Rattus norvegicus: one gene and its partners. The protein of the gene in region 6 purifies or fractionates together with the protein of the main gene of each other region. This does not show direct contact. Links are inferred from orthologs where the notes say so. Each region holds a gene or a part of one and is shown on either strand. Other genes may lie near its edges. The genes, in order: Ipo4, Tonsl, Chaf1a, Ubn1, Ubn2, Asf1a and Nasp.

Evidence for each region.
Region 1: the proteins of Asf1a (region 6) and Ipo4 purify together in Homo sapiens (affinity purification with mass spectrometry; 4 studies listed by BioGRID and IntAct, counting the BioPlex papers as one, with this or other methods). This does not show direct contact. The link is inferred for Rattus norvegicus from reciprocal best matches to the Homo sapiens genes ASF1A and IPO4.
Region 2: the proteins of Asf1a (region 6) and Tonsl purify together in Homo sapiens (affinity purification with mass spectrometry; 4 studies listed by BioGRID and IntAct, counting the BioPlex papers as one, with this or other methods). This does not show direct contact. The link is inferred for Rattus norvegicus from reciprocal best matches to the Homo sapiens genes ASF1A and TONSL.
Region 3: the proteins of Asf1a (region 6) and Chaf1a purify together in Homo sapiens (affinity purification with western blotting; 3 studies listed by BioGRID and IntAct, with this or other methods). This does not show direct contact. The link is inferred for Rattus norvegicus from reciprocal best matches to the Homo sapiens genes ASF1A and CHAF1A.
Region 4: the proteins of Asf1a (region 6) and Ubn1 purify together in Homo sapiens (affinity purification with mass spectrometry; 6 studies listed by BioGRID and IntAct, counting the BioPlex papers as one, with this or other methods). This does not show direct contact. The link is inferred for Rattus norvegicus from reciprocal best matches to the Homo sapiens genes ASF1A and UBN1.
Region 5: the proteins of Asf1a (region 6) and Ubn2 purify together in Homo sapiens (affinity purification with mass spectrometry; 3 studies listed by BioGRID and IntAct, counting the BioPlex papers as one, with this or other methods). This does not show direct contact. The link is inferred for Rattus norvegicus from reciprocal best matches to the Homo sapiens genes ASF1A and UBN2.
Region 7: the proteins of Asf1a (region 6) and Nasp purify together in Homo sapiens (affinity purification with mass spectrometry; 6 studies listed by BioGRID and IntAct, counting the BioPlex papers as one, with this or other methods). This does not show direct contact. The link is inferred for Rattus norvegicus from reciprocal best matches to the Homo sapiens genes ASF1A and NASP.

Annotation. Positions count from the first base shown.
Region 1 is NC_086033.1:33,094,442-33,098,695, forward strand, and holds the start of Ipo4 (importin-4), read right to left. Parts: upstream 2,801-4,254; 5' UTR 2,730-2,800; coding exon 2,661-2,729; intron 2,580-2,660; coding exon 2,493-2,579; intron 2,345-2,492; coding exon 2,265-2,344; intron 2,183-2,264; coding exon 2,141-2,182; intron 1,619-2,140; coding exon 1,489-1,618; intron 1,402-1,488; coding exon 1,222-1,401; intron 972-1,221; coding exon 906-971; intron 805-905; coding exon 703-804; intron 621-702; coding exon 537-620; intron 359-536; coding exon 194-358; intron 1-193. Other genes in the region: Tm9sf1 (transmembrane 9 superfamily member 1 isoform 1 precursor), read right to left, coding at 3,376-3,769. UniProt on the Homo sapiens protein: Nuclear transport receptor that mediates nuclear import of proteins, such as histones, RPS3A, TNP2 and VDR. Serves as receptor for nuclear localization signals (NLS) in cargo substrates.
Region 2 is NC_086025.1:110,238,598-110,242,837, reverse strand, and holds the start of Tonsl (tonsoku-like protein), read left to right. Parts: upstream 1-1,440; 5' UTR 1,441-1,507; coding exon 1,508-1,532; intron 1,533-1,612; coding exon 1,613-1,708; intron 1,709-1,798; coding exon 1,799-1,941; intron 1,942-2,474; coding exon 2,475-2,658; intron 2,659-2,891; coding exon 2,892-3,021; intron 3,022-3,288; coding exon 3,289-3,460; intron 3,461-3,537; coding exon 3,538-3,652; intron 3,653-4,183; coding exon 4,184-4,240. UniProt on the Homo sapiens protein: Component of the MMS22L-TONSL complex, a complex that promotes homologous recombination-mediated repair of double-strand breaks (DSBs) at stalled or collapsed replication forks.
Region 3 is NC_086027.1:981,725-985,224, forward strand, and holds part of Chaf1a (chromatin assembly factor 1 subunit A), read left to right. Parts: intron 1-708; coding exon 709-935; intron 936-1,167; coding exon 1,168-1,336; intron 1,337-1,421; coding exon 1,422-1,502; intron 1,503-1,931; coding exon 1,932-2,024; intron 2,025-2,560; coding exon 2,561-2,816; intron 2,817-3,500. UniProt on the Homo sapiens protein: Acts as a component of the histone chaperone complex chromatin assembly factor 1 (CAF-1), which assembles histone octamers onto DNA during replication and repair.
Region 4 is NC_086028.1:11,005,002-11,007,466, forward strand, and holds part of Ubn1 (ubinuclein-1), read right to left. Parts: intron 2,431-2,465; coding exon 2,341-2,430; intron 257-2,340; coding exon 207-256; 3' UTR 1-206. UniProt on the Homo sapiens protein: Acts as a novel regulator of senescence. Involved in the formation of senescence-associated heterochromatin foci (SAHF), which represses expression of proliferation-promoting genes. Binds to proliferation-promoting genes.
Region 5 is NC_086022.1:68,131,761-68,136,060, reverse strand, and holds the start of Ubn2 (ubinuclein-2), read right to left. Parts: upstream 2,801-4,300; 5' UTR 2,557-2,800; coding exon 2,131-2,556; intron 2,109-2,130; exon of another isoform or gene 1,593-2,108; coding exon of another isoform or gene 1,554-1,592; intron 1-1,553.
Region 6 is NC_086038.1:33,435,358-33,439,431, reverse strand, and holds the start of Asf1a (histone chaperone ASF1A), read right to left. Parts: upstream 2,801-4,074; 5' UTR 2,735-2,800; coding exon 2,626-2,734; intron 2,585-2,625; coding exon of another isoform or gene 2,045-2,584; intron 1,817-2,044; exon of another isoform or gene 925-1,816; coding exon of another isoform or gene 860-924; intron 1-859. Other genes in the region: Mcm9l (collagen alpha-2(I) chain-like), read left to right, coding at 2,045-2,584. UniProt on the Homo sapiens protein: Histone chaperone that facilitates histone deposition and histone exchange and removal during nucleosome assembly and disassembly.
Region 7 is NC_086023.1:135,316,792-135,320,995, reverse strand, and holds the start of Nasp (nuclear autoantigenic sperm protein), read left to right. Parts: upstream 1-1,404; 5' UTR 1,405-1,530; exon of another isoform or gene 1,531-1,886; 5' UTR 1,887-1,925; coding exon 1,926-1,984; intron 1,985-4,204. UniProt on the Homo sapiens protein: Component of the histone chaperone network. Binds and stabilizes histone H3-H4 not bound to chromatin to maintain a soluble reservoir and modulate degradation by chaperone-mediated autophagy.

The DNA of each region.
Region 1 (4,254 bases), on a different chromosome or scaffold from region 6:
ATCCCTTCTCTGCTTCCTGTCCATGTGAATGGTTCTGGCTTGCTTCCTGGTTGCTAAGACCTGAACCACTCTGTCTGGCCATTCCTTTCTCATCACAGTGAATGGAAATCTCTGAAGCCATGAAAACACTTCCTCCCCTCAAGGTGCTTCTCTGAGGTATCTGGTCGCAGTGATGATGAGGCCAATATATCACCTGCACAGCAAAGTGCTTGGGAGTCTCCCCCATCAGCCCAATCTCCAAGTCATCGTCGTCAGAATCTTGGTCTTCAGGATCCAGTTGGCCCAGGGGTGGCTCCGCAGCCATTATGGGGAAGAGGGCGTTCAGCAGGGGAGGCAGGAGGCGGTTCTTTAGCAAAGCCTAGAGGGGAGGACTATTCCTGAGTGTCTTCCCAGACGCTCCCAACCACAAGTAGCCCAATCAGAGATTCCCAATCTCCAGGCAGGAACAGAAGGCTGGGCCAGGATGTGAGCAGGACCAAGACTACAACTAATGGAGGAGGCAGCGGGGTAGGATAGCATCCCTACAGGGCACTTACCTTACTTTTGACTTTGACCAAGAAAGTGAGGCAGCAGAGAATACGTACACGAATTGCTTCGCCAAGGGCCACATTCTTAGCCACCTATACAGACACTCAAAAGAATCAAAAACAAGCAAGAAAGAGGCAAACCAAGAAGCAGGGGCAGCACCCACCTGAGGCTCACCTCCAGGCAAAACGTGAGGACCTCAGAGAGGTGGGGGGTGATGATGGGCAACTCTGTCTCCAGCATTTCATCCAGGGCCTCCAGGGCCTCACAGGCCTTTACCTGTAGACAGGTAAGCCACAGGGTACTCTCTCCTCTAGGGTGCCAGGGTGGGTGTGCCTCCATTTTCCTCCCAAAAGGAGATCCTCCCCACCCGTCCTTACCTCATCTAAGGGGATCAGAGTCCTCAATGCCGTAACGACTTTGGGCACCAACATCCGTGCGAGAGACTAGAAGACACAGGGTGAGCTTAATCACATAAAGACATGCAGCCTAACCAGAAAGTGGAGACTTCCTCATAGTACACCATCTAAGGATCCAGCTAAGCCCCGCTAACAGTACTCCCTCAATCCTCAGGAAGAACGACGGCAGAAACTTTAAAGCTTTAAAGCATCTTGGGCCAAAACTTCTAAAAGCGAGGGCATGAAACCAAGAGATACAGGCAGTGACGGGGTTAAGGTAGGACAGTCAATGCCTTACCACATCATCTGGTCTGAGGTAGCGGGCCAAGGCAGTCAGAGTGCGCAGGGAGTAGAAGAGCACTCCGGGGAAGCTCACTTCACTGAGCGTCTCAATCAGAAGCTGAAGGAGCTCTTGCTGGTGGGCGTGGAAGGCCTCCGGCTGAGAAGACACCACCACGCTCAGTAGCAGCAGTCCTACCTGTCCAGGAGTGGGGAGTGAGAAGAGCGCTTGTGCTCTATCCAGCCTCTCAGTCCCTCCTTCCTGCCAACAGGGCAACGACAGTACCTCTTTCTCAGGGCTGTGGGCACTGTGAGTGCTATGCTGAAGAAGGTTCATGAACTGAGGCCAGCCTTGCAGGCCTTCCTTGCGAAAAATGGTGGCTGAGAGCTGGGCCAAGCTGACACTCACATAATGCCTGCAAAGAGAAGATTCATTCATCCAGAAACACCCTTTACCACCCTTCCCTTGCAAACAATGCCTCAGGCCCAAGGAATGGCCAGAAGAGACGCCTCTAGGTATGTGCACACAGTCTTTCCTAGGGCAGACCCCAGAAGATGACAACTGCGGGCGATGAAGGGAGGGTGGTACTGTCATTTGTCTTGTTCAGGACCACTGGACAGGCTGAATTCAGTCTTGTTTTCCCGATCTGGGTTTAGCAGATCATTTTCACCCATTCTCAGAAACTTTAGTTTTCTCTACCTTCTTTTTGTTTTTTGGTTCTTTTTTTCGGAGCTGGGGACCGAACCCAGGGCCTTGCGCTTCCTAGGTAAGTACTCTACCACTGAGCTAAATCCCCAGCCCCCAGGCTCTACCTTCTAGGCCTGAAATAAGTCTCTGATCCCTAAGTCCCAGTCTGGGACTGAAAAGGTAGAAGCCCAGAGAGTTATCTCAGTCCCCTATCAGTTAGGACCCCCAAGAGAGGGTGCTCCACACTTACTCTGTCTCTTTCTGCAGTGCTGTCAGGACCAGAGACTTGAGGCTGGAAGACAGGTGGCAAAGGCTTGGTACTAGGCCTGTCAAAAAGTCTAGGCCCGGCCCCTCCCATCCTAAATTCAGCCCACCTCTCCCGCTGCTCAGGTGCCAAGCGACGCCAGCGATTGCTCAGCCTTCTGCGGGTCAGGACCGCTGCAAACTGGCGGATCTAGAGTGAGAAGAGGTGGCCAGCCAAATGAGAATCTCGAGCAGTCAGAAGATGAACAGATTAAGACCGCAGGGGGAGGAGGCTGGGGCGGGACCAGGGGCACGGTGAGGAATTTCAGAATGTCGGCAAGGAGGGGCAGGTAACTCGCCTGAGGGTCGGTCGCTGATGCTAGCAGGTCGCAGAGCGCTGGCAAGGCAGCAGGGTCTCGAAGGGCGGTCTGGAGCTGCTCCGTAGCCTGTTGGGAGGCTGGGGGGGTCAAGACCGGGCCTTTCCCACAGCCTCCCCATCCCCCTAGCCCTGTTGGGCCTGCCCATACCCGGCGGATGCGCTCGGTGTCGGGCATCAGCAGCTCCTTCAGGATCTGTTCCAGACCCGCAGGCTCCATGGCAGCTGCCGAGCCGCCGCCGCTACAGGGCCGGGTGGGGAGGGGGAGGAACGGCACGTGGAGACTCCGACAGCAACTTCCGGCGGAAAGGGCGTTACTCTGCGTCTCTCCAGTCGCCTGGGTGATTCAGCTTGCTTCCCTTCAAAAACTCCTGCTGAAAACTGGTGGCTGGCGTCAGTCTGGGCTTCGGTCTGGCTGAGCACTCTCTAAACCACAGAAACAGAGTCTCGGGAACGTGAGTTCCCTGTGCCGACAGTTCCCAGAGTCCAGAGTTTGTGTGGCAGTAGCGGACTCGGGTTTTCAAAGCAACTGTGCATTGACAACAGGTTTCAGGTTTCTATAACTTAGACCAAAATTTCCAACTACAGGATCCTTTTTCTTAATAAATTTTATTTTAATAATTGTAAAAAGAAAAAAAAATCAGGACCAAAACATAAGGCAACTTAAAAAGTTCAAATATATATATTTCTTATATAATAGAGATTTTTAATTTCCAGGTCCTCCCCAAAGAAGGGAGGTCCAAGGGGTAAAGAGGGAAGGAAGGCGACAATGCCATCACACAATTCGGTCAGAAGAGAAGCTATCCAGTGAAATCAATGGGGCATGATGAGAGCAGGAGAAGAGCCGTAGTTCTGTCACGCAGAACTCAGTCCATCTTGAGGTTAACATAGATATAACGGATGAACTTTAAGGAACTAAAAAAGGAGATGGTGCCCAGCATGAGGAAGAAGACATAACCAGTCAGTAAAGAGTAGCCAAAGAACTCTACTGTCTGTACTGCCCCTGACATGTTGGACCGCCGAGCATAGTAGAAAACTGAGTAGAGGAAGATGAAGAGGCCAGTGGAGCCAACGCTTAGCACAGATCGCCACCACCAGCGGTAATCTTCCCCAGACAGCTGGAAGTAGGTGAGCGCAATGGAGATGCAGGCCCCCACGCTCAGCAGGATGGCGAAGACAAAGAAGAGGATGCCGTACAGCGTGTACTGCTCTCGGCCCCAGACGGTGGCAAAGATGTAGTACAGCTCCACAGAGATGGCACTGTGAAGAGAACAGACAATACACACCATTAAAGCAGTGTACAGCCACAGCAGGCTGAGCCAAACCCAGCCACACCTTCCCACGTCACACCGTGGAGGTCAAGGCAGCGTGAGGAGCCTTCTGCCCACTAGTTTAGTTTAATAGTTGCTCTCATTTCATGAACATCGTCCCTTACAGGCTGAAAGCAGACATCTTAACTAGACCAGGTGACATACATCTAATACTACTATTTGGGAGGCTAAGGCAGGAGGATTGCCAAGTTCAAAGTCAATCCTGGTTACAAAATAATTTCAAGGCCAGCCTGGAAAATTTAAGACTGTCTCAAAAATGAAAGGTAAAAAATGGGCTGAGATGTGGCTCAGTGGTCCAGTGCTTGCCAAATGATGCTTGAGGCCCGAAGTACACTCCAGTAGTACAAAAGTACAAAACGGGATTGTTTAAAAGGTACATAGCTGGGCTGGGGATTTAGCTCAGTGGTAGAGCGC
Region 2 (4,240 bases), on a different chromosome or scaffold from region 6:
CCGTGGTTAAGAGTATTGGCCAAGGCTTTTTTTGGGAAAAGCCAGATTTGATTTTCAGCATCCACATGGTTGTTCATGACTGTGTGTACCACCAGTTTTATTTCTTTACTCATACATTTGTTTGTTTGTTTGTTTGTTTGTTTGTTTGTCTCCGCATTGGTGTTGGGCCTCTGTGAATGGTTGTTGGAGGGTATCAGATCCCCTGGAACTGGAGTTACAGATATCTGTGAACTACCATGTGAGTGCTGGAAATTGAACCCCATTCCTCTGGAAGAGTAGCCAATGCTCTTAACCACTAAGCCATCTCTCCATTCCCCAGCACCACTCCTCAACTCCTCCAGACCTCCCCACCCCTTTCTAGGGATGCCTTCTGGCCTCCATGGACGACACTAGGCACACAAATGGTACACAGACAAAATACCCATACAACAAGATAATAATTTACAACTTTAAAGGTAAAACTTACAAGTGTAGTGTGGTGATACAGGCCTTTGAGCACAGCACAAAGGAGACAAAGGCAGGGGGATCTCTGAGTCCAGCCAGTTCTATATGAACACCTGTTTTGCTTTTTAAAGTTTTTTTCATAAATGTAGGTAGAATAGGTGGTATGTGCTTTAATTTCTAGAGGAAAGGGGGTAGCATTACAGGACCCCTGTAATAAAAAGGCAGGTTGAGAGCTGGAAAGTTGGCTCGGTAGTTAAGAGCATTTACTACTCTTGCAGAGGACCCAAGTTCGGTTCCCAGCACCCACACGATGACTCGTAACAAACTGTAACTCCCGTCCCTTCAAGTGTCTTCAGCCTCTAGGCACACGGAAGGTGCACATACACACATATAGGTAAAACACATACGTGAAATTAAAAAAATCTCTCTTTCTCTCTCTCTCTCTCTCTCTCTCTCTCTCTCTCTCTCTCTCTCGCTCTGTGTGTGTCTGTGTGTGTGTGTGTGTGTGTGTGTGTGTGTGTGTGTGTGTGTGTGTGTGTGTGTGTAGCATTGGCTTTCCGGGATTAATTCGCTCTGAGACCACGCTGGCCTCAAATTTAGACATCTGCCTGTCTCAGTCTCCTGAATGTTGGGATTAAAGGCGTATGCCACCATGCTCGTCTACTCTTAAAACAAAACAAAGTCAGGTAGGCTACAGGGCAGCAGGGTTAGTGCCCACACGTTGTCTGTAGTCCGGGTAACTCACCCGAAGGGGTCTGTAAATAAGGACACTGCCTGCCTGGGTACCTGCATTCTCCGCCAGCAGCTTTGAAAGCCCAGATCCCAACCAACAGACCTTGGGCTCTCTGATCCCGCCATGCTGGAGCTCGTCGGACTACAAATCCCAGGAGGCCTGGGGTCTACAGCACTTGGGCCACCGGAGGGGCGGAGTTAAGCATGCGCTCAGAAGACTGGGTGGGCCCTGCGTGTTAGGGGTGGAACGAGGTAATGGGCGTGGGCTCAGAGAAGCGCGGGAAGTCCAGATTTTCGCGGCGGCGGCGGCGGCGGCGGTGGCTGTGTGAATATGACGCTGGAACAGGAGCTTCGCCGTGAGTATTCTGGGGCGTACTTGTCGGGACGCAGGGTGTGGGTCGGGTCCTGGGTTAGACTTGATTCTCTCTTCCGGCAGAGCTGAGCAAGGCGAAGGCCAGGGCCCAGAGGAATGGACAGCTGTGCGAGGAGGCGGTCTGCTGCCACCAGCTGGGGGAGCTGCTAGCTAGCCACGGTGAGCCGGAGTGGTGAGAGGGAGGGCTGGCGGCAGGGGACTGACTGAGTGATGGCGCACCTTGAGCCCCCCACGCCCCTCTTCCGGCAGGTCGCTTCCAGGAAGCTTTAGAGGAGCACCAGCAGGAGCTACATCTGCTAGAGAGTGTCCAGGACACCCTAGGCTGCGCTGTGGCCCACCGCAAGATCGGAGAGCGGCTGGCTGAAATGGAGAACTACTCTGCTGCTCTGAAGGTACAGAGCCTTCACTTCTTGTTGAGGAGTGAGGACTAGTATACAAATAGTATTCAGCGACAACTGACACGGCAGGCAGTCACACCCTTATGCTTACTCGGGGCGCTGCCCGGCTCTTGACTCGGGGATGAATGAGTTTGTGACAACTGAAGAGAAGACTCGGGACCCACTGCTATGGCAAGCAACACTCCAGGCAGCCCTTAGTGGTCTCCCATGACAACACTGCTACATAGACAGTCCTTTGCACAGGAAAGATAGGACATGGGTGTAGCCAACTCTGTTGAATTTTGGGAAACAGAAGGTTCTCTTTCATAAGAGTAGCTTCCTCTGGTACTTCAAATGCTTTTTCTTCTCTCTTTTTTTTAAAGATTTATTTATTATATATAAGTACACTGTGGCTGTCGGATCCCATTACAGATGGTTGTGAGCCACGTGTGGTTGCTGGGATTTGAACTCAGGACCTCTGGAAGAACAATCCGTGCTCTTAACCACTGAGCCATCTCTCCAGCCCACGCTTTTTTTTTCTACACTAGCACCAGCATCTCTACCTGGATCTAGCTGGTTCCCTGTCCAACCACACTGAATTGCAGAGAGCCTGGGCCACCATTGGCCGCACCCATCTGGATGTATATGACCACTGCCAATCAAGAGATTCCTTGCTGCAGGCACAGGCTGCCTTTGAGAAGAGTTTGGCTATTGTGGATGAGAAACTAGAGGGTGGGTGCCCTTTCCCTGGATTTTCCCTCCCCATATCCTGCATTCTAGGTCCTCCCTTTCCAAGGCCTGAGTTGCTCACCAGCTTGAACCTGTGAGACATCTGCCCCTTCCCTGTATACTCTATCTGCAGCAGACTCCTGGCTCACTCAATAAGAGATGGAAAAAGGGTGGGATAAAGGGAAAACCCCATACCCAGAGGAGGCAATTGAGTCCCTAAAGCTCTTGCTTTCCAGGGATGCTGACCCAGCGGGAACTGAGTGAGATGAGGACCCGTCTCTACCTCAATCTGGGCCTCACCTGTGAGAGCCTGCAGCAGACAGCCCAGTGCAACAACTACTTCAAAAAGAGCATCTTTCTCGCTGAGTGAGGAGGAGGGAGCGGGTGGTCGCCTGGGATCCTTCTGAGAGGGCAGCTTGCCTAAGTTGTTCGTTTGCCATGTACATTTATGCTGCAGGCTGAGGAGAAGAAGATATAGGCCTGAAACCATAGCATGGTAGAGCCCAGGGTCTGTGTGGTGTCTGTAGCCGTAACTGGTTGAACATCAACAATATCATAGGCATTTCGGGGTCCACTGTTCCAAGGCTGGTGGACACTGGACACTCTGAGCTCCTGTTACCTCATCCTCCACAGGCAGAACCATCTGTATGAAGATCTGTTCCGGGCCCGATACAACCTGGGTGCCATCCACTGGCGCGGAGGGCAGCACTCTCAGGCCATGCGCTGCTTGGAGGGGGCCCGGGAATGTGCACGTGCCATGAAGATGAGATTCATGGAAAGCGAATGTTGCATGCTAGTGTCTCAGGTACCTCTCCTTTCATTGTCCGCTTGGGCCTGGGCCTTAGTGAGTCTACAGGTCTTAGTTTTTCCCCCTCTTTCTAGGTGCTCCAAGATCTGGGGGACTTTCTGGCTGCCAAACGAGCCCTGAAGAAGGCCTATAGGTTGGGCTCTCAGAAGCCTAACCAGAGAGTGGCTATCTGTCAGAGTCTCAAGTATGGTGAGGCTGCATGGGGTCCCTGAACTGAGAGCCCTAGGGGTCGGAGAAGGGCTCTGCCCTCCCAGCAGGAGACACCCAGCTTCTTGGGGATGTGGCAATGTGGGCATGAGCCTCTGACAGCAAGGGTAGATTTCTGTCAGTTGAAGACCCTTGCTTTTGTCTAAGCCTGCTGCACAGGGTGTGGAGGACACTAGAGGGTGTGGAAGAAACTGACTGGACCTTTGTCCCAAGACAGCATTAGCAAATGGGAGCACAGGTGTCATACTGTGTCCCAGAGACTGACAGTGACAGTCACTAGTGTTCAGATCTTCAGACCAAGCACTGTTCTAGGCTGCCAGGCATACTTACCCTTCTAACCTTCAGAAGTTCCTAGTGGTCAATATCCCCACTACCTACTCTGACCAATGGTCACGCTGAGCCATTTCCCTGGCTCTCAGGCCGCTGCCTGAGGGAATATGGCTGGTGGGGGTAGGCTGTGCTTGGGGCCCTATGCTGTATGACACCCCCCTCACTCGAGATTCTTTTTGGCAGTATTGGCCGTGGTCCGGCTGCAGCAGCAGCTGCAAGAGGCTGAGGGCAATGATCTTC
Region 3 (3,500 bases), on a different chromosome or scaffold from region 6:
TGAGTGGCCCAGCCGACAGGGCATATGGTTGGACACAATCCCTGTTGGGCACTCTTTATTGTGTTTTCACCCAGAACAAAGGAACTGGCTCTGAACTCTGCCACATGCTGTCCCTGGGGCCTGAGCTGTTCCTTGTCCCTTGTTTCACCCATCCCAGTCAATTCACTAACCATTCAATTCACTCCAGAGCTCAGTGAGTTTGACAAACATTTCTGAAAATGTGGGGACCAAGAGGCACAACACATACACATAACAAAATGAATGGAGGTATTCCTCTTTTCTATAAGATTTTTGATTTTATTGGTATGACTGTTTTGCCTGTGTCCTCTGGAAGAGCAGCATTGCTTCTTAACTACTGAGCCATCTTTCCAGTCCCTAAGTAAATAAACTGTAAAAAAGGAAAAAATAAAAATCTGGAAGACAACTGTGTCAGCCCATGCCTGTCATCTCAGCAGGCTTAGATTTTCTGAGTTTGAGGCTGACCCAGGCTATACATAAGGCTGGGTCTCCATAAATAAGGTTAAAGCTATCAAGGTGGAGGTGGTTCTCAAGTGGCTTTGTTTGGAATGCATTCCTATCACTCCGAAGAAGGAAGACTCTGGAGTCTTCCAGCTTCCACGCAGCTCCCTTTGGCCACCAGGCAGCAGTGCACCTGAGCTAGCATGGCTTCTCACCTACTGGCAGTGCATTAAGTTCTTCCTATTGCAGACCCTGGCTGGCTCCTGTGGTAAGTTTGCCCCCTTTGAAATCAAAGAACACATGGTGTTGGCTCCACGGTGCCGGGCTACCTTGGATCAAGATCTGTGCGATCAGCTGGACCGGCTCCTACACCAGCAGAACGTGGCAAGCTCCTTCCTCAGTGACCTAAAGGGCCGACTGCCCCTGAGATCTGGGCCCACCCAGGTCTGTGGCCATGACACAGACATCATGAACAGGTGAGAGCTGGCACACCAGACCATAGAAGAGTCTGGCATGGAGCCCCATGCTGCCCTATGCTGCTGAGTCCTAGAGTCACCATCTCCCAGAGTGTCTCTCTTTACACGTTCTGGGGCTCTGGGGCACACCTTCCTGCACACCCAGGGTGCAGCAGGAGGAACAGGCCTGAGTAGTTCTGAACAGACAGGTCATGTGCAGCCAGCCATGAACACAGTATGGTCTGATTACCAGGGATGTGGTCATCGTGGAGAGCAGCAAGGTGGATGGTGTGCCTGAAAGGAAGAAGTTTGGCCGAATGAAGCTCCTGCAGTTCTCAGAGAACCACCGGCCAGCATACTGGGGGACATGGAATAAGAAGACAGCAGTCATCCGCCCCCGTAACCCCTGGGTCCAGGACAAAGTGAGCCTTGGGATTGGGGTTCCTCATGGGGGTGGGCTGTTCTGTGCTGTTTCACCATGATGCTCATGCCTTATTCTCTCTCCAGAAGCTTTTAGACTATGAGGTAGACAGTGACGATGAGTGGGAAGAGGAGGAGCCTGGGGAGTCTTTGTCCCACAGTGAGGGGGTAAGTAAACCCATTGAGTATGAATAGCAGCAACTACAGCAACTGCAGGAGAAGCCATCGTACACTCTTATATGGGGTGGGCTGTTGACCCGGTTGTTTTGCTCCTGCTTAGCCTAGTGACTGCTTGCCATCCCGGCGCCCCCAGGCAACATGGCTGTTGGAGCCACACTGAGTCCTACTAGTCCCTGCTTCCTCTGCCCACATGTACTGTTTCTGCCTTGCTCCCCAGCTGCTGACACCAGTGTAGATGCACACAGATTTACTGTGACGCGGAGGCTAAGCTAGGGGACATCCTGAGCCAATGTTGGGCACTAGGCAGGCTCTGTAGCCCCCTTAGCATCTGCATGGATGTATGTGTTTATATGTGGGACTGGACTGGCCTTCAACTCTGATATCTGTGTGCTGTAAGCTCTTGTCTTTCTCTTCAAGGATGAAGATGACGATGTGGGGGAAGATGAAGATGAGGACGATGGGTTCTTTGTGCCCCATGGGTACCTGTCTGAAGATGAAGGCGTAACTGAGGTGAGGGCTCCATTCTGAACTGATTATAGGGTGTTGAGGTGATCAGCTGCTTTGATTTAGGCTCTGGGTGAGCAGGCATGGGCTTTCTCTGCTGCATGGTCTGTAGATTTCCCCTAGAGTTCTAACAAACCACCACAGTTCCAGAAGGTCCTGTGCCCCTGTGAGCTCTCCCATAAGGGGCTGTGGAGAGCTTGAGTGGTATCCGTAGGTCCCAAGCTCCTAGTTGCAGGTTTAGGGAACCTGCATAGGATGACTGAGGTCAGACTGTCTGACCATGATGTTGGGCAGCTCAGGCCCTGCTGGAAGCCACATTGATCGGGGTGTTTCTGGGGTTGGGGATTTGGTCGCCTATTAACCAGGTCAAGAGGCTGTGAGGCTGGACAAAGCAAAACCACTGAAATATCCTGCCTTATCATATGATTAAAGATGTGAACTGACTTCTCAGAGTTGTCCTTCACTGCCACATCCTCTGTAGCTCATGCCACGGTGCCAGGGAGCGTGGGCATTAAACAAGGGTCTGTTCCATATCCTGCCAGGAGTGTGCGGATCCAGAGAACCACAAAGTACGCCAGAAGCTGAAGGCCAAGGAGTGGGATGAGCTCCTAGCCAAGAGCAAGCGCTTTCGCGTGCTGCAGCCTGTGCAGGTGGGATGTGTTTGGGCGGCAGAGGCAGCCAACTGCACAGGTTCCGACTTGAAGCTGCTGCAGCAGTTCACTGCATGCCTGCTGGATGTGACATCCCCTGATGAGCCAGAGCCCAGGGCCTCCAGGAGGGAAAAGAGGGACCAGCATAGTAAGTAGGGTACGGGAGTGTCCGGGAACAGCTCCTATCAGGGTGTCCTTGATGAGGTCACAAGTATGCAGAGCCTGTGTGTGGGTATCCGTCCACATGCAGCTTGTCTGCATGTAAAACTGACAGGGCCTTGGGTGCTGGGTACAAACTCAGGTTGTACATGAACCTGCCAAGTGCTTACCACTCAGCCATACCCCAGTCTTGCTATCCTACCCTTGACTTTTTGGGTTTTGTTGTTGTTGGTTTGGTTTTGGTTTTGGTTTTGGTTTTTTTGAGTCAGTGTCATTGTGACACAAGACAGGTCTTGGTTACCAGATGGCTTGCACTTTTCTTGAACTCATGGTGATTTTTTTGCTTCCAGCTCCTAAGAGCTTGACTTCCAGGTATAAGCCCCTAGGCATGGCTCCCTTGGAAATTTTAGTAGGACCCACAGCAGAATGATATAGTCAGTTTTGAGACCTGGACCAGAGTGCAATGCCACTCCCTCCCTGTCCTAAACCTGGGGACACTGGTGGCTCAGAGTGAGCAGCGACTGCTTAGGAGGAACATGAGGGCACACACAGCTGACCACGGGCATGGCCCAGGGCCACTGGGAAGTAGGCGTGTGGCTTCTTAGCCAACCGATGCCAAGTAGCTTTCTTTGAAGTGTGCCTTGCCAACCTTCCTTGGCAACAGTGAGGATGG
Region 4 (2,465 bases), on a different chromosome or scaffold from region 6:
CAGGTCAGTAAGTGCTTTGTGAGCAGCAGAAGCTGCCCTTGGTTGGAGGCCCATCTGAAGTGCTAAGAAGTGCTCCATTTCAGACTCATGCCTGCTCCAGAAGAAAAGCAGTGGGCAAGAAGAGCACAGCAAATGTCTGTTATCAGAGACATACATGTTGGGCTTCCTCCTAGACCTATGCCATTCAATTCCATCCTCCAACGTGGTCACAATTTCCTCGGGACAACAGGCCCTTTCCCATGAAGCTGTGAAGTATCTGGAAAAGAATAAGCAAAATCAGATCATTCTTTCAGTGCTCCAGTGCCTTTAAGGCAGCATAAACACACTTCACAGGGAACACAAGCAGCAAATGTCCCCCAATAGCAGCTGTGTGCATTGCTGCTCACAGCATCCTGCATCACGCATGAGCACTACCACTTTTCTGGCAGGGGCCACTGAGCACATCTATAGAACAGGCACTCTGCAACATGACACGGGCCCCTGCAAGGCCTGATGACCATACACAATTCAGACAATGTTCATTCTCTTGTCATCAAAATGTACTCAGATCCCAGAGGTACAAAGGCAAAGGTAACAGCATCAGATACACGCAGAAGGGAAAGCAGAGCAGAACCAAGGCTCAGCTCACTGCCAGATACAGGGTATCCCTGCCAGCCCTGCAGAGCCCCACATCTGTAGCATAGCTCAAAATGAAGCTCACGCTGCTAACCCATTTTACGTGGCTGCTCTTCTGATTGCCCCCAATGTTTTGTTTTTCTTTTTCTCCTTGAGGTACTGGTAATGGACACCGGGCTTTATACATGCTAGGCAAGTGCTCACCACTGAACTACATATCCTTAACCATCCTGATAGCTTTGGAAGATCAGGGAGGAGACATAAGAATGGTTCAAGAAATGTTTTTTCTTTCCCTTTCTATCCCTCTCCCCTTTGTTGCTAAAAATTTTACAGACCCAGAGTCTCTCTTTAACTACTTTCTTTCTCTCAAAAAGGCCCATTTCCAAAGCAAGTGGAGGTGGCACCATCTCATTCTCACCGTACACAGGCTCTCCATAGCTGGGGAGTCACCCACATTGCACCTCACTCAAATGGCAGCCACCCACCCGTGTAGAGGAAGTCCTCAGATGTGACTGCTTCTTCAAAGAAGTTGACTACTGCTACTGGCTTTGCTCCTCAAAGAAGGCTCAAAGATTTCCTTCTGTGGAAATGCAAATTCACCCTCACCCTATCAAGGCCTCTGACATTCACTACAGAGTTCCCAGCTTTTTTTTTTTTTTTTGCTTTTTTTTTTCTTTTCTTTTTTTCGGAGGTGGGGACCGAACCCAGGGCCTTTTGCTTGCTAGGCAAGCAGAGTTCCCAGCTTTAAGACATGGATGCAAGGAACCCACAAACAGATCCTAAAGCAGACAATGAGTTGTGGACCACACCATCCATAAGCAAGTCAAAGATACGAATCCTTAGAGTCTGCATCTGACTCTTGCCTTATACAAGCCCCATGTTCCCTAAATTCAGTCCTCTCCTGATAGCCCAGGGACCTGGTTGAAACAGGTCTAAAGTGCTAAAAATACTAGGTCAAAATCAAGTTCTCCTCTGGTTCTTGAGTCAGAATTTCATGAAGTATCTCTATGCAGAATCCAGGAATCAGGATGAAGTCAGTCCACCTACTACAAGATGCCTGTCTGTGGCAACTATTCCCTGTTCTCATGCTCTCAAGCTGACAATGTACCCAGGGCTCTGCCTACTTCTAAAAGCGCCATTCTGTCAGGAGAAAGTGACCTCATTCCAGGTGTGCTTACAAATATGTTTCAAGGAAGGTTTACACCAGGGAGGATTAAAAGCTGCTTCTGTTTTGGCTCTGTGCTAGCTTCAGAGATAAAGAGGTCCTTCCCTTACAATCATGTCCTATAGTCTCTCAGTGTTCTACGGGTATTTTCACTCTTCAAAGAGTCTCTACCATCTGACAATGCCTGCCAGATATGCAGCATTTCACCATAAAGGCCCTAGAGCGCTTGGTTAACCTCTGGACAAGAAACACCATTACCTTTCTTTTCTTTAAATGCATACTGAGGGTTGGAACACCTGCTTCATGCTCAGGCTCCACCATATACGGTCACACAGGCTAAGTCTGACCCAATGGCCATTCTGATAAGAAACCAGGAAAAGCCTCTTACAGTATAGGTTTTTATTATTCTGGAACCTAAAAAGCCATAGCCTCAGAAGACAAAGCAAATACAAAACAGTGATGATGAGGCAGAGATGGCTAACAGCGCCAGCAGCAAAGCACCTATGGGTGGAGGGGCATGGTGCACAGAGTGCATGGCACACTGCCCATCTGGCATTTACCTGGCAGACTCTGTGGGACATGGGTAGACACAGCAGCATGTGGGAGAGGCGCTGTGTGGGGTGGGCTGGAATGCAAGCCAGCCAGAAGACCTGAGAGAAACAGGAGGGGAGAGAACAAAACACAC
Region 5 (4,300 bases), on a different chromosome or scaffold from region 6:
TTGTGGAATTACAAACAAAAGATAAATGGTTGAATATATAGTGAGAAAATTGAACCAATAAATCCCTAAATTGATATTATCTATGAAGCAAACATAAAAATTAAACCCAACTCATATGTCTCATAGAATATAAAAGTATAGCCATGTACCAAACATTGCTTTAAAGGTCAAGGAAAGATCACATACACAACAGTAAATACCACAGAGCCTATACAGCAGGTTAAATGTAAGTAGGATATATCTAAAAACAGACTAAAACACCTACTCAGGTGTACAGGAAAGTGTACACCTTTGACTCCACTACTCAGGAGGCAGAGGCAGAGGGGTCTGAGTAGGAGACCTGGTCTACAAAGTGAATTCCAGGACACCAAATCCGGTTTCAAAGCAAAACAAAATCTAGGTTATTGTAGGTACTTTCTATTTGCACAACAACAAACCACAAAGTAGCATTATGTAATTTTTTTCTACCAAAAATGGCTTTTGTCTTGCTGTTTTATTATACCTGTGTGTGTGTGTGTGTGTGTGTGTGTGTGTGTGTGTGTACACAACTTGGACAAGATGGCTCTCTCCTTCCCCCATGTGGACGGAACTCAGGTCTCTAGGCTTGGCAGCAAGTGCCTTTATCTGCTGAGCCATTTTGTTGCCCAATTTTTGTTTTTTTGAGGCAGGTTCTCAGTATGTGGTCCTGAACTCTTCATCCTTCCACCCCAGCCTCCAGAGTGCTTAGGTCACAGGCTACCATACACATCTACAAAATGTTTTGCATCTGTAACTTATGCAAATTGTAAAAATTGTACACCTACTTATATTAATGAGTCAAGGATAATTCTTTTGAAAATGCTCCAATTTAATAGACAAAAATTATATTCATATTGCAAAAACAAAAAGAGTTATGGATGAATTGAGTCTACAGGACAAAATATACGTGAAAGTGACTAAAATGGTCTCTACCCCTAACGATTCAATTTCTCTGAAAACATTTAGTAATGATGGCCACACAATACTTGTAACTAGCCATCAAACGATTATCTGGCACAAAATGAACACAGATTAATGGTATTAGTCAATGTGAGACTTTTAACTAAAGAGTCCTTCACTGCAACAACAAAGATAGTTGAAAGGAACTAATGCATTCTGGAGTCCATTAGAAAGCCCAGTCTAATAAAGAGCATGGTCTCTAAACAAGAGGGCAATGCCTCTGTCTGTCTGCCTGCCTGCCTCTATCCGTCTCTCTCTCTCTCCCATCTCCCCCCCCCAAAGATCACCAACCCACAACAATAAAAATTACAGTCACCGACAAACCGCTGTCCTAATCCCCATTGTTCACCGGTTCCCTCAAAAGCATACCGATATATTTTCCTAATTTTTTTAAATTAAGAGCGAATGTTTTTTCCGTCATTCTCCACAAAACCACAACGGACAAACGCTCCCAATTCGAACTAATGAGAGCCACTCAAATAATATGACTGAACAGCCACCGAATAAGACAGGAGACCTTTCCATTCAAAGACAATATGCACAAACTCAACACACACAAAGCTAACAATATTTACCAACACAAGTGCAACCACATTACGAATCCACTTTTTCATTCCTAACGTGGAATCATTAGTTTCTGAAAATGTTTAATTTCTCTTAAATCCCCTTCAATCAAGGAAAATAAACCACCCGGCCACGAGCCCATCTCAGCAGCCCTGGCGCACGATACAGCTGGGTTGAGGAAGGATGAGGATGAGCCGAGAAGGGGTCACACAATCTCTCCGCTTCAGACCGGGGGGCGTGTCCCCCAAGGTTTTTTCGCTTCCCTTCTACCGGAACGACAGATGGAAGTGCCACAAGAAGCTAGCCGCACGGCTCGCAGGGCCTCGGGATTTGGTGTGGGGAACAGAAAGGAAAAGGAGGAAAAAGCTGAGGTTTCGAAAGGTGCACAGGAAAACCGGCTCGGCGCGGTGTGGAGGGGGCAGCCTCGGCCACCCAGGTTGGCCGAGCGGCGCAGCTCCCGCCCCGTCTAGCCGCCCGGCCCCCGCCACCCCACCCCCGGGGCGAGCGAAGTGCAGAGCAGCCCGGGCAGGCGGCGGGTCCGGAGGCGCCCGGGCTGTGGGGCGGCCGGGAGGGAGGGACCCTCTGTACCCGTTGTTCTCCGCACAGCAGCAGCTCCGGGTAGCTGAACTCCACGCAGCTTTCGTCCGTGGGGTCCTTGAGCACCAGCTCCAGGCGAACAGTCTCCTTCGGCGGTCGCGGGGGCGGCTCCGCCCGGGAAGCCGACTCCCGCGGAGGGGGAGTCTGCAGGGGCAGCGGCGGCGGCGGCGGCTCGGGCCGCGGGGGCTCGCGCTGCAGCGCCATGGGCGGCTCGGCGCGGCTGACCTCGCGCTGGGGGAGCGGCTTGTCGCGCGCCGGGGGCTGAGCGTCAGCGCGGGGGGCCGGCTCCGCCCGGGCCGGCTCGCGGTACGGCTGCGGCTCCAGTCGGGGGGGCTCGCGCTCTGCGCCCGCGAAGTCGGCCTCGCGCCGCCTCACCGGTGACAGGCTAATGAACGCGACTCTGCGCGGCTCCGCCATCCCCACTGTTCTGGCCCTCGGCGTTCGCTCGAGCCGGCTCTCGTCTCGACGCCGCACGGCGTGCCTGCCCGCCTTTCCTTCTGCTCTCCGTCACTTTTCTTCCCTCCAGCACCCTCAGCTGTCCCCGCGGACGCCACCGTGAGTGCGGACCAGGTCCCTGTCCCCGCTACTACGTTCTGATGGGCTCCACCACCATCGCCAGGGTCGCCGCAGCCGCCATGTTGGATCCCCCACATAAATAGAAGCAGGCCGCTGAGCGGGCGCATGCGCACACTAGAGACGCTCGCGTCCACAGTCGTGGCTGTTGCTCAGTTTTCCTCTTTTCCTCTCAACAGTCTGGAGGCCAGACAGCTCGGCGGAAATGACGTCACAAATAGGCCTGTCTCCGTGGCAACGGGGACGCTATGTATGCTTTGGTTTCAAAGGAGGGGTTTGGGGTTCCCGGAGTGATTTCCTCCTCTCGCCCGGAAACCGAGGCACGCTCGCGGATCCCTTAGGGTGAGCGTCGCGATGTGCCTGGGACCGACCCAGTCATGGCGCCGGGTCCCGCCCGACGTTGGCCTCTGGCTCTCGGCGTCGGGGAACAGGGTCGTCAACTGAGGATTCCTAGCGGACCCAGGAAAGGGGTGAGGGACTGGCGGCCCGTCTTCCCGGCCTGCCGGTCCGTTGCCCAGTCACCTGAGGTGTCCAGGGTAGAAAGGCGAAGACTAGACTCGCCCCAGACCCCTCCCGAAAGCGCCACGCTGCCTCCCACACTTCTCCGTAGTCGCTTTGCACATGGCGGTGAGACGCTTAGTGACGCGCCTCAGTTGAGAAATTGAACTGGCAAATGAACAGTTCTTGAAGACTCGAACGTCTTGGCAGCGTTTGGTGTTATTTTAGGGGACATGCTCTTGGGGGAAAATAAAATCATGGCTCATATTCTAAAAAGGAAAGAGCGTTGTTTTAAGCTTCGCTGGAGCACCCGTGGGAAACGAACTGGAATTCAGATTTTAAAGGACTAGAGCTATTGGCCCTTTAAATCTATTCAATAGAAAGTGAATTTGAGGGCTCCCTTTCCACATCCTCAAGGAAACTCACGCTTGTTAATTGCATTAACTAAATTAGATGTTGAAGAGCTGAGTCAAAGAGACGTCACAGACATTTTTAGTATTTGCTCTTCTATTCCTTACTAAAGGTGTATGCCAAGTGGTGAGGGAATGTTCATCCCAAAAGGTCCTGCTAGCTCTAAGCCAGGTGTGGAGATGTACGCCTTTAGCCTCATTTAGCCTCAGGAAGATACAGGCTGTTACATTTCAACACTGTCAACATTTAAAAAAAAAAAAAAAAAAAAAAAAAAAAAAAAAGCAGGTCAGCTAGCACTTCTTAATGAAAGTGGTGGCACTCTGGAGCCAGGCAGATTTCTTTGAGTTCAAGGCCAGCCTGTTCTACTTGGTGACTTCTAAGCCAGCCAGAGCTACATAGTGAGACCCTGTCTGAAAAAAACAAACTGGCAACAAGGGAAAAAAAATGATGAGGGGCTGGGGATTTAGCTCAGTGGTAGAGCGCTTACCTAGGAAGCGCAAGGCCCTGGGTTCGGTCCCCAGCTCCGAAAAAAAAGAACCAAAAAAAAAAAAAAAAATGAATTTCTTCTTTAAAACGCTGCAATATTTCCTTGACATATTTTATGTTTAACATTCCTTCCACTACTACTGATTTTGATTGGGGTCTCCTATTTTGGACTGAAGTGACCTTTCTGCTCACA
Region 6 (4,074 bases):
TTGGGTCTGAATGTGATGGAATGCTTATTTATCAAGCAGTTTCACTACTAGAGTTATGAGCTGAAAATTATTTATTTATTTTGAAAATTAGCTTTTCCATTTAACCGTGGTAATCCCAGGCAGAAAGTATCTCCACGTGTGGCCGGAGGGATGCTACCGAGGAAACTGTCAGTTAACTAATTATTGGGAAACTCTGTGGCCTAGTAGAAAATACACAGCCTTTGCAATCAAAGCAGGCCTGATCTTTCAAAGGATAAAGCCACAGGCTCAATTTTGATGCACTGCCAGTATTAAACCCTAGAAATTGCAGGAAGGCCAATTAAACTTGTATAGGCTTGGTGATCAAGTATAATAAAGCCCCTACTTAAAATCACTTTTAAAAAATGTTAAGTATGGTGTGTGTGTGTGTAGGCACTATGTGGAGGTCAGAGGACAACTGGTTGGAGTCAGTTCTCTCCATGACGCAGGGGATTGCCAGGTAGTTGGTATGGGTAGTAGCTTTACTGGGCGAGCCATCTCACTAGCCTTTAAGTCCCACTTTTTAATGTGCTCTACTCCTAGACATAAGTCCTATAAAAGAAATAACTGTATTTAGCGCGAACACAACTTACGTCTTCTTCTGAAGCAAAACTACAAGGCAGCTTTTAAAAGCAAAGTTAAAATATTTCAAGACTACTGACAAATAATAAATGGTGGCTAATTGGTACACTGGAGGTAGACACAAATCGTAAACTCAAAATTCCCTATAGAGTATTTCGTACTTGGATCAGTAACTTTAAAAGTCACAGTACAACAAAAGTATGGACCCTAGAAAAGAGCTTCTGCAAGATAAATCAACTCCCATTTTCTTACTCCACAGAGCCTCTAGATGGAGTATACAGGAATGGCAGCTTTTTCAAGGATTCCTTTGCAGCTTTGGAATGACTCAGCTTAAAATACCTTAAAATAATGGTGCCCTGGTTTGAAGTGTGCTAGAGGAAGGCATATTCTTGACTTGAGTAATACCACTGTTGTGAAAGGATCCCAGTCTAAAATGGAACCTTGTTTGGTTTCTGCGGATGGCTGGTTTCGAACTATCCAGTGTGGTGACTGTAACAATATCCTAGACCTTTCTTGTACAACGTGGACCTAAAATGGAGGCCACCATTAGTGAAACACCTGTGGTGTAAAGAACTTCTGATGCTTGGAACACTGCACTGAGTAGAGGATGGACTCAGCCATGATCCTACTCTGTTTATTTGCTCATTTGTATGTAAATTGGCAGTTCAAAAAAGGAAAAGGAAAATCAGTGTTGGAAATGGGTCTGATGTGGAAATGCTATTACATTTCAAATGGAGAAATGAGCAAAACACCCTTACACTCCATTAATCATCACAGTCCATTTAGAGACTATTATATCTTAATCTTTAGTCAGTCTTCAGGATATGTCCCACTCACTAGATGTATGTGCATTATACTTTATATACTTATTAAAAACAGGGTACATTTTAAGTGATGGTGATGGTTAGCCAAAGGAGTTGAGGGAAAGGGCTGTGACTTCCTTTTTACAATTTTTAAAGGTTTGTTGTAATGGCTTTTATAATTAAAGTTAACATCCTACGTGAAGAGATTATAGCTTTTAAATTAAAAGAGAAATTCTTTTCGTCGTAATTCGGATAATAATCTTAAAGGCGTTTTGTCGAAATACTTCCAAGTCCCAAGATGTCCTCCCAGTTAACTAAAATTTAACGCCAATGAAGTTAAACTTTTTGTCTCAAATGTTGAAAATGAAGCACTGATTTTAATAAAATCTAAGAAAAGGAATAAGAAGCTCACATTTTAGCTTTCTAAATTCTGTATTACCTCACTATTTCGCATTTTGTAAACCGTAAAATGTACTTCAGAAAGGACTGCCTTCTATTTTCCTATTTCTCTATCTGCCTGGACGTGGAGTTATTTTAATTGCATCTTCTTCACACGTTCTGGAGAGTCTTTCAGACTTTCTAGAAGCCAGAGATGAAGTGCCTGGAATTGGTTAAGCGCCCTGCTTTTGCTCTCGGGTGGGATGGAACTTCCTAACCCTTCACCGTTTCTCTCCGAGAGGTCTCCGTTCCCCGGGAGAGGCGTCCGCGCCGGTCCGGAGGCGGCGCGCAGCATCCCGGGCGCCCGCGGAGAGCACGGCGGCCCCCGGGAGCCAGGCGCCGAGGGGCCGAGCCCAGCGCCCGCCTTCCGCGCTGGTTGGTGGAGGAAGCCGGAGAGCGGCGCGAGGACAGCCTCGGCGGGGCTCGGGCGGGAAGGCGCGGGCCCGTTCGCCCCTGGCGGCCCGGAGCAGGCGTCGTGCCGCCGGGTAAGATGGCTCCGCTCCCCGCCGGGCCGCGGGGCCCTGGGGCCGCTGAGGCCGCACGACCCCCGCCAGTGCCGCGCGAGCCGGGTCCGCCAAGCGCCGCCCGCTGCAGACAAAGCTGACAACATGGCTCCCTCCGCCCGGCAAGTTGCTCGCAAGTTGCGGCGCGGCCGGCGTCCCTCAACTTCAAGTTTCCCTCGCATGGCCGCCCTCCCGCCGGCCGCGGCCCACCCCGCGCGAGGCCGGGCTGGGAAACTTTAACGTCCGCCACCGCAACTGACAGCCTGGCGCCACTCGCTCACCTTCAGACAGGTCCTCGATGCACTCGAAGGTGATCTCGAACTGGAACGGGTTGTAGAAAGGCGACGGGTTATCCAGCACCACTACATTGTTCACCTGAACCTTTGCCATATTTTGAAGAAAACACAAACAATGGGGCCGGGGCTGGCGGCACCACAGAGTCCCGCGCGCGGCCGCTCCGAGAGCGCAGACCCCCGCCCCGGCGCGGCGCGGCCCGACGTCGTGCAGCTGCGACTTGAGAAACTTTTTTTTCCTTTTTATTTACACGGCAGCACTCCACAGTGTTTTGCAGCTTTCCTATTTCACTAAACTACAGCCCATTCTGCTCTGATAACTAGCAGCGTTGCCCGCGATTGGCTGCCCCCGAGCTCTGACCCTCCTCCTCCAGCGAGGGCCGCGGCGGCGAGCAAGATGGGCTCCCGCTCGCGGAACGGACGGGAAACTTTCACTGCGGCTCCACCTGCTGGTGCGGACCAGGACAAAGGCGCAGAACAAAGTGAGTGGAATAGGGGCTGGGAGGCCCGCGCGGAGGCCGCCGCCGGCGGGGGGAGGAGGCGGCGCAGGCCCCGCCCCCTCCCGCCGGGCCCGCGCCGCACGTCGGGCGTGGCCGCGGCGGGACGGAGGGGCGGAGCCCGCGAGGGGGCGGGGCCTGCGGCCGTGGCGGGAGGGCGCGATCTGGCCCCGCGTGTTCGCAGCGTGGGCCTTGGGGTTCTCCGGGTTTCTCCCCGCCTTGAACACTTCCCCATAGGTGCGGGCAGTTTAGCGGGCTCTGCTGGATTTAGCGGATAAGATGCTCTTTGCCGCACTCCTCAGGCCCAGCTGTCTGCTTTTCGTTATGGTAGAGAACAGGGAGAAGGGCTGGTTGCAGTGGGAATAAATTGGATTTTATAGCCCATGTCAGCTCGAAAGGAGCAGGCCATTTTGGAATTCAAGTTCTTGGGCACGATAGTGCGGTGAAATAGATACAAAACGAGGGCGGGTGATTTTCACACACACACACACACACACACACACACACACACACACACACACACGGAGGCAGACCGGAAAAAAATAAATATGCGATCTTCGGCTGTACGTTAGATTTGTTCCCATTTCAGATCTGAATAGATGTAGAACTAAAATGGGGAAAACGTGATCGGTTACAGCGAGGTTTCCGTCGTTTTCGGGATGGGGTGGGGGAGGGGCAGAGAAAGAAGTTAAAAGTCGAAAAAATGGAAGTGTCAGAAGACCTAAGGACAACAAATGTATTAGTGGAATATAAGGAGAAAACCCAGATAATATGACATTTGCTCTTCAAGAGATTTATAACAAACACCCATAAATTAAAAATTGCAGCACCACAAATTCTGAGGAGCCCTTCCATGCCTTTGATGCCTGTGATGCCTGTGAAACCATTTCAGGGCTGACGTGAGGAAATGTTGCTTGTTTATGGTACTTAGCCACTCTGG
Region 7 (4,204 bases), on a different chromosome or scaffold from region 6:
TTTTTTTTTGAGGCAAGATCTCACTCCGAGAAGCCTTGGCTGTCCTGGAATTCCCCATAGAGATTAGGCTGCCTCAACAGTCTCTGCCTTTGTAATGCTGAAGAAGATGTTTGTGAGCACACTGGATTTTTAAACAAGTCATTATTATTGTTATTATGGTTATTCGGTTTCTCTGTGTATCCCTGGCTATCCTGGAACCAGCTCTGTAAACCATGCTGGGTTTGAACTCAGGGAGACCAATCTGCCTCTGCCTCCTGAGTGCTAAGATTAAATGTGTGTGCTAGGGCTGAAGAGACGGCTTATCTGTTAAAGAGCACTGGCTATTCTTGGAGAATATGACAGCTCACAAACTATCTGTAATTCCCGTTCCAAGGGATTAGACACCCTCACACAGACATACGTGTAGGCAAGATACCAATGTACATCAAATACAATAAATTATAAAGATGTGTGCCACCATGCTCCAAAAAAAGTTATTTTTTAAAAGAATCCAATTATTTCTATTTATTCATTTTTAGATTTTTTTCATTTTGTGTGAGTAAATGCTTTACTCACATTCATATCTGTGTACCACATCATGCATGTGCCTGGTGCCTAACGAAGTGGTGAGCCTACTTGCGGGTCCTGGGAATTGAAACACGGTTCCTTGCAAAAATAACAAGTGCTCTTAACTTCTAAAGTAACTTTCCAGCCACACTTACTTTTATTTAATGTGTATGAGTGTTTACTTGCATACATGTATGTGTATTGTGTGTATGCCTAGTGCTTCTGGAGGTCAGAGGAAGGGATTGATTGAATGCCCTGGAACTGGAGTTATAAACGGTTGTAAAACAATATGTGTGTGGTAGTGGTCACCTGTAATCCCAGCATTTGCAATCAGTCAGGCAGATTTCTGTGGGTTAGAGGTTAGCCAGTCTAAATAGTAAGTTTCAGGCTAGCCAGGGATATACTGTGAGTCCCTGTCTAATATATATGAAAGAAAAAAAATAGACAGCTAAAATGTTTAAAGTGTTTTATGTCTTTTTTTTCCCCTGGAGCTGAGGACCCAACCCAGGGCCTTGTGCTTGCTGGGTAAGTGCTCTACCACTGAACTAAATCCCCAACCACTAAAGTGTTTTAAGTATAGGATTTAGATCAACAACTTGGAAATGGGTAGAGTAAGATGATGGCATCAACGGATTGGATCAGTCAGAGGGGGTGGATCTAAACACTCACATCCCTTTGCTCCTCTGAGTTTTGAATCAAGCGCGTTAGTTTATCTGTAGCCAATCCTAGAGCAGCATCTTCCTTCGTCAGTAGTTGCTGAGGCCCAGAGCCACGCGTCTCTCTGGTCAGTTCTAGCCGTTGCTGCTGTACTCGTGCCCAGCTCTTGCGTTTCCATCCGTTAAGACTGAGAGGGCATAGGGAAGACCTGTCACCTTCTCGGGTATCCCCGTCAGAAAGAAACCCTCGGGACTACTTTTTCCACAGTCGCAGAGACTCACTGGTTCCACTTAATTGTGGAATCTCTAGGCTGGCTCCCATTCAGAAGTAGTACCGAGATTTTGGTGCTTCTAACACGACTAGCCACAGAAGCAGGAAGTTGTTTGATTTTTGTTTTCTTTTTCCTTTCTATCTTACTTTCTTTTTCTTTTTTCTTTTTTAAGGAAAAACGGGCCAGGGCGGGAAGATAACCAAACGGGAAGGGATAAGGGGCTGTGTGTCCTTGTGACAGAAAGGTGTTGAATGCTAGCCCTTTAAACACGAGGGGGAGGATCCGGAAGTGGATGGGCGGGGCAAGGGGCTCTGGTATATAAGAGGGCCTCAACCGCGCGGGGTCTCCAATCTGCCATTTTCTCTACCTGAGTAAGTCATCGTTGTCTGGAATTCTCTCGTTTTCTTCGCAGGCAGTATACTGCCCACTGGCCCACCACCTCAGGGGAACGATGGCCACAGAGTCTACAGCCACTGCTGCCATCGCCGCGGAACTGGTTTCCGCTGACAAGTAAGCGGGACTGTGGCGAGCTTGAGGCATGGGCCAGTCCTCAGGGAGAGCTGGTGGACTTGGCTTCGCGGGCGGGACGGACTGGTGGGTGGGACAGCTGCCTTCCCCTAAACAACTGCGGGCGTTCGGAGAGGGTTGGTTTGTGGAGAAGTCCCACTTGCGAAGAGCTGGCGCACTAGCGTTAACGGCGGGTGGCTGGCGCCCCCTGCCCGGCTTTTCACGGCCGCCATCTTGCCGGGGGCAGCGGTGGCTGTCTCCATCGCCGGCCCCTTTTCTTCCACCCCCGGCCCGAGGTTGCCGGTAGGTAGGCGGGGCCCGGCTCCAGTCGGTTCTTGAACCTCTACCGGCCGCCCATTCCTAGGGTGCGCCTCTGTAGAGAGTCTGTGGACGAACCTAGAAATTGGCCAACAGATTTGGCGCCAAAAGAAAAAAAAAAGCCACACGAGGGTGAAGGCTTGGAACTGGGGACTCGGGTGGGTGGGGCCTCTCAGAGGGCGGGGCTTTGCACTCCGGCGGTCTTGCTTTTGGCTCTTAGGAGTGGGCGGGGCTTTTAGGAGGCGGGAAAACTCCATTGTTTGGAGTTAAGGCTGCTTTTGCCACTGCGGTTGGGCGCAGCGAATTTTATTCTATACTCCTACCAGGTTTACAGTAATCTGAGGGTGGTTACGGGACTGAAGCTTTGTAACTCTCATCCTTTGCAGAGAAGTGTCGTGGTTCTTTAGGTTTTCACTGAGTCGGAGATTTTGTAGCTTCAAGAGACATTTCACTTGTGTAGCGTCTAAGGTAAAGGCTGCGTGGAGCTTTCAGTCTAAGTAGTGTTTACTTGCTAGATGAGTTTGTTAGGCGAAAGGATCCCAAAGGAGGAATGACCTAATTTGAGGGCTTAATCAAACATGAACTATTTCGCCTAGTGCAGAGACACCTCCATCAGTTTGAGAAAAGAGTATTTTCCGTACAATAGGTTCGATTTTCCAATTTCCCATGCCTTTTTTAGGTACTTGATTCTATTTTTTTCTGTTTTTTGAGCATTTAGAAGTATTGCTTTGGGTAAAAGTAAAGGTGTCTGTGAGATATCTGAGTGGTTTTTTTTCTATAGGTTTATGTTTTAGTTGACATTTCACTCAGTACAATTTTATCAGAGATCATAGTGTCTTTGCTTACCCTATCACATTGGTTCCTTTCCTAGACGTTCTTGAAAATCAGTGGTTCTCAAACCACTCAACCATTTGGGAAGTGCAGTTTTGATTTTAGATTCCACTCTACTTCCTCTTCATTGATTTTTTTTAAATTTTTATATTTAATGTATATGAGTACACACACTATAGCTGTCTTCAGACACACCAGAAGAGGGCATCAGGTCCCATTACAGATGGTTGTGAGCCACCATGTGTGTGCTGGGAATTGAACTCTGGACCTGTGGAAGAGCAGTCAGTTCTCTTAACCACTGAGCTATCTCTCCAGCCCAACTTTTTTTTTTTTTTTTTTTTTTAAGGACCAGAGTAGATTAAGTTTGGGAATTCTGTAGATAATATTACAGAATGAATCCATTTATGGTGCTTTCTGAACAGCTGTTTGTATTACATCGGAGATCCTTTTTTTCCCCCCAATACTTTACAGTTTGGGAGTGCTTACCTAGCATAGTATCTTGGATTAGATCTTTAGCTTTTCCCCTGCCCCTTTTCTCAGTTTTTCTAGACAGCGTTTCTCTGTGTAGTCCTGGCTGCCTTGGAACTCAAGAGAAGAGTTTCTGACTGCTTTGGTCTCCCAAGTGCTTAGGGTTAAAGAGGAGTGTACTGCCCCCACCCAGCCTCCAGCTTTTTTTTTTAAACGACTGTATAAACAAACTTTAAAAGTAAAGTTTTCATGTATTCATTTATGTTCAGTTAAACTCTAGCTATTGGTGAAGTAATTCCCAGCTTCCTGGATGGGTATTTACAGAAAATTACATGCCTACTTATAAAAAAAAATCTACACATACTTTTTTTTGTTTTTGAGAGAGCATTTCTCTATATCTTGGCTGTCCTGGAATTCACTATGTAGACCAGGTAGACCTGGAACTCACAAAGATCTACTTGCCTCGGCCTCCCAAATGCTAGGATTAAAGTTGTGCATCACTATGTTTGGTCTTCAGACACACTTTTTTTTTTTTTTCTTTTTCTTTTTTTTTTTTTCCGGAGCTGGGGACTGAACCCAGGCAGGGCCTTGCGGTTGCTAGGCAAG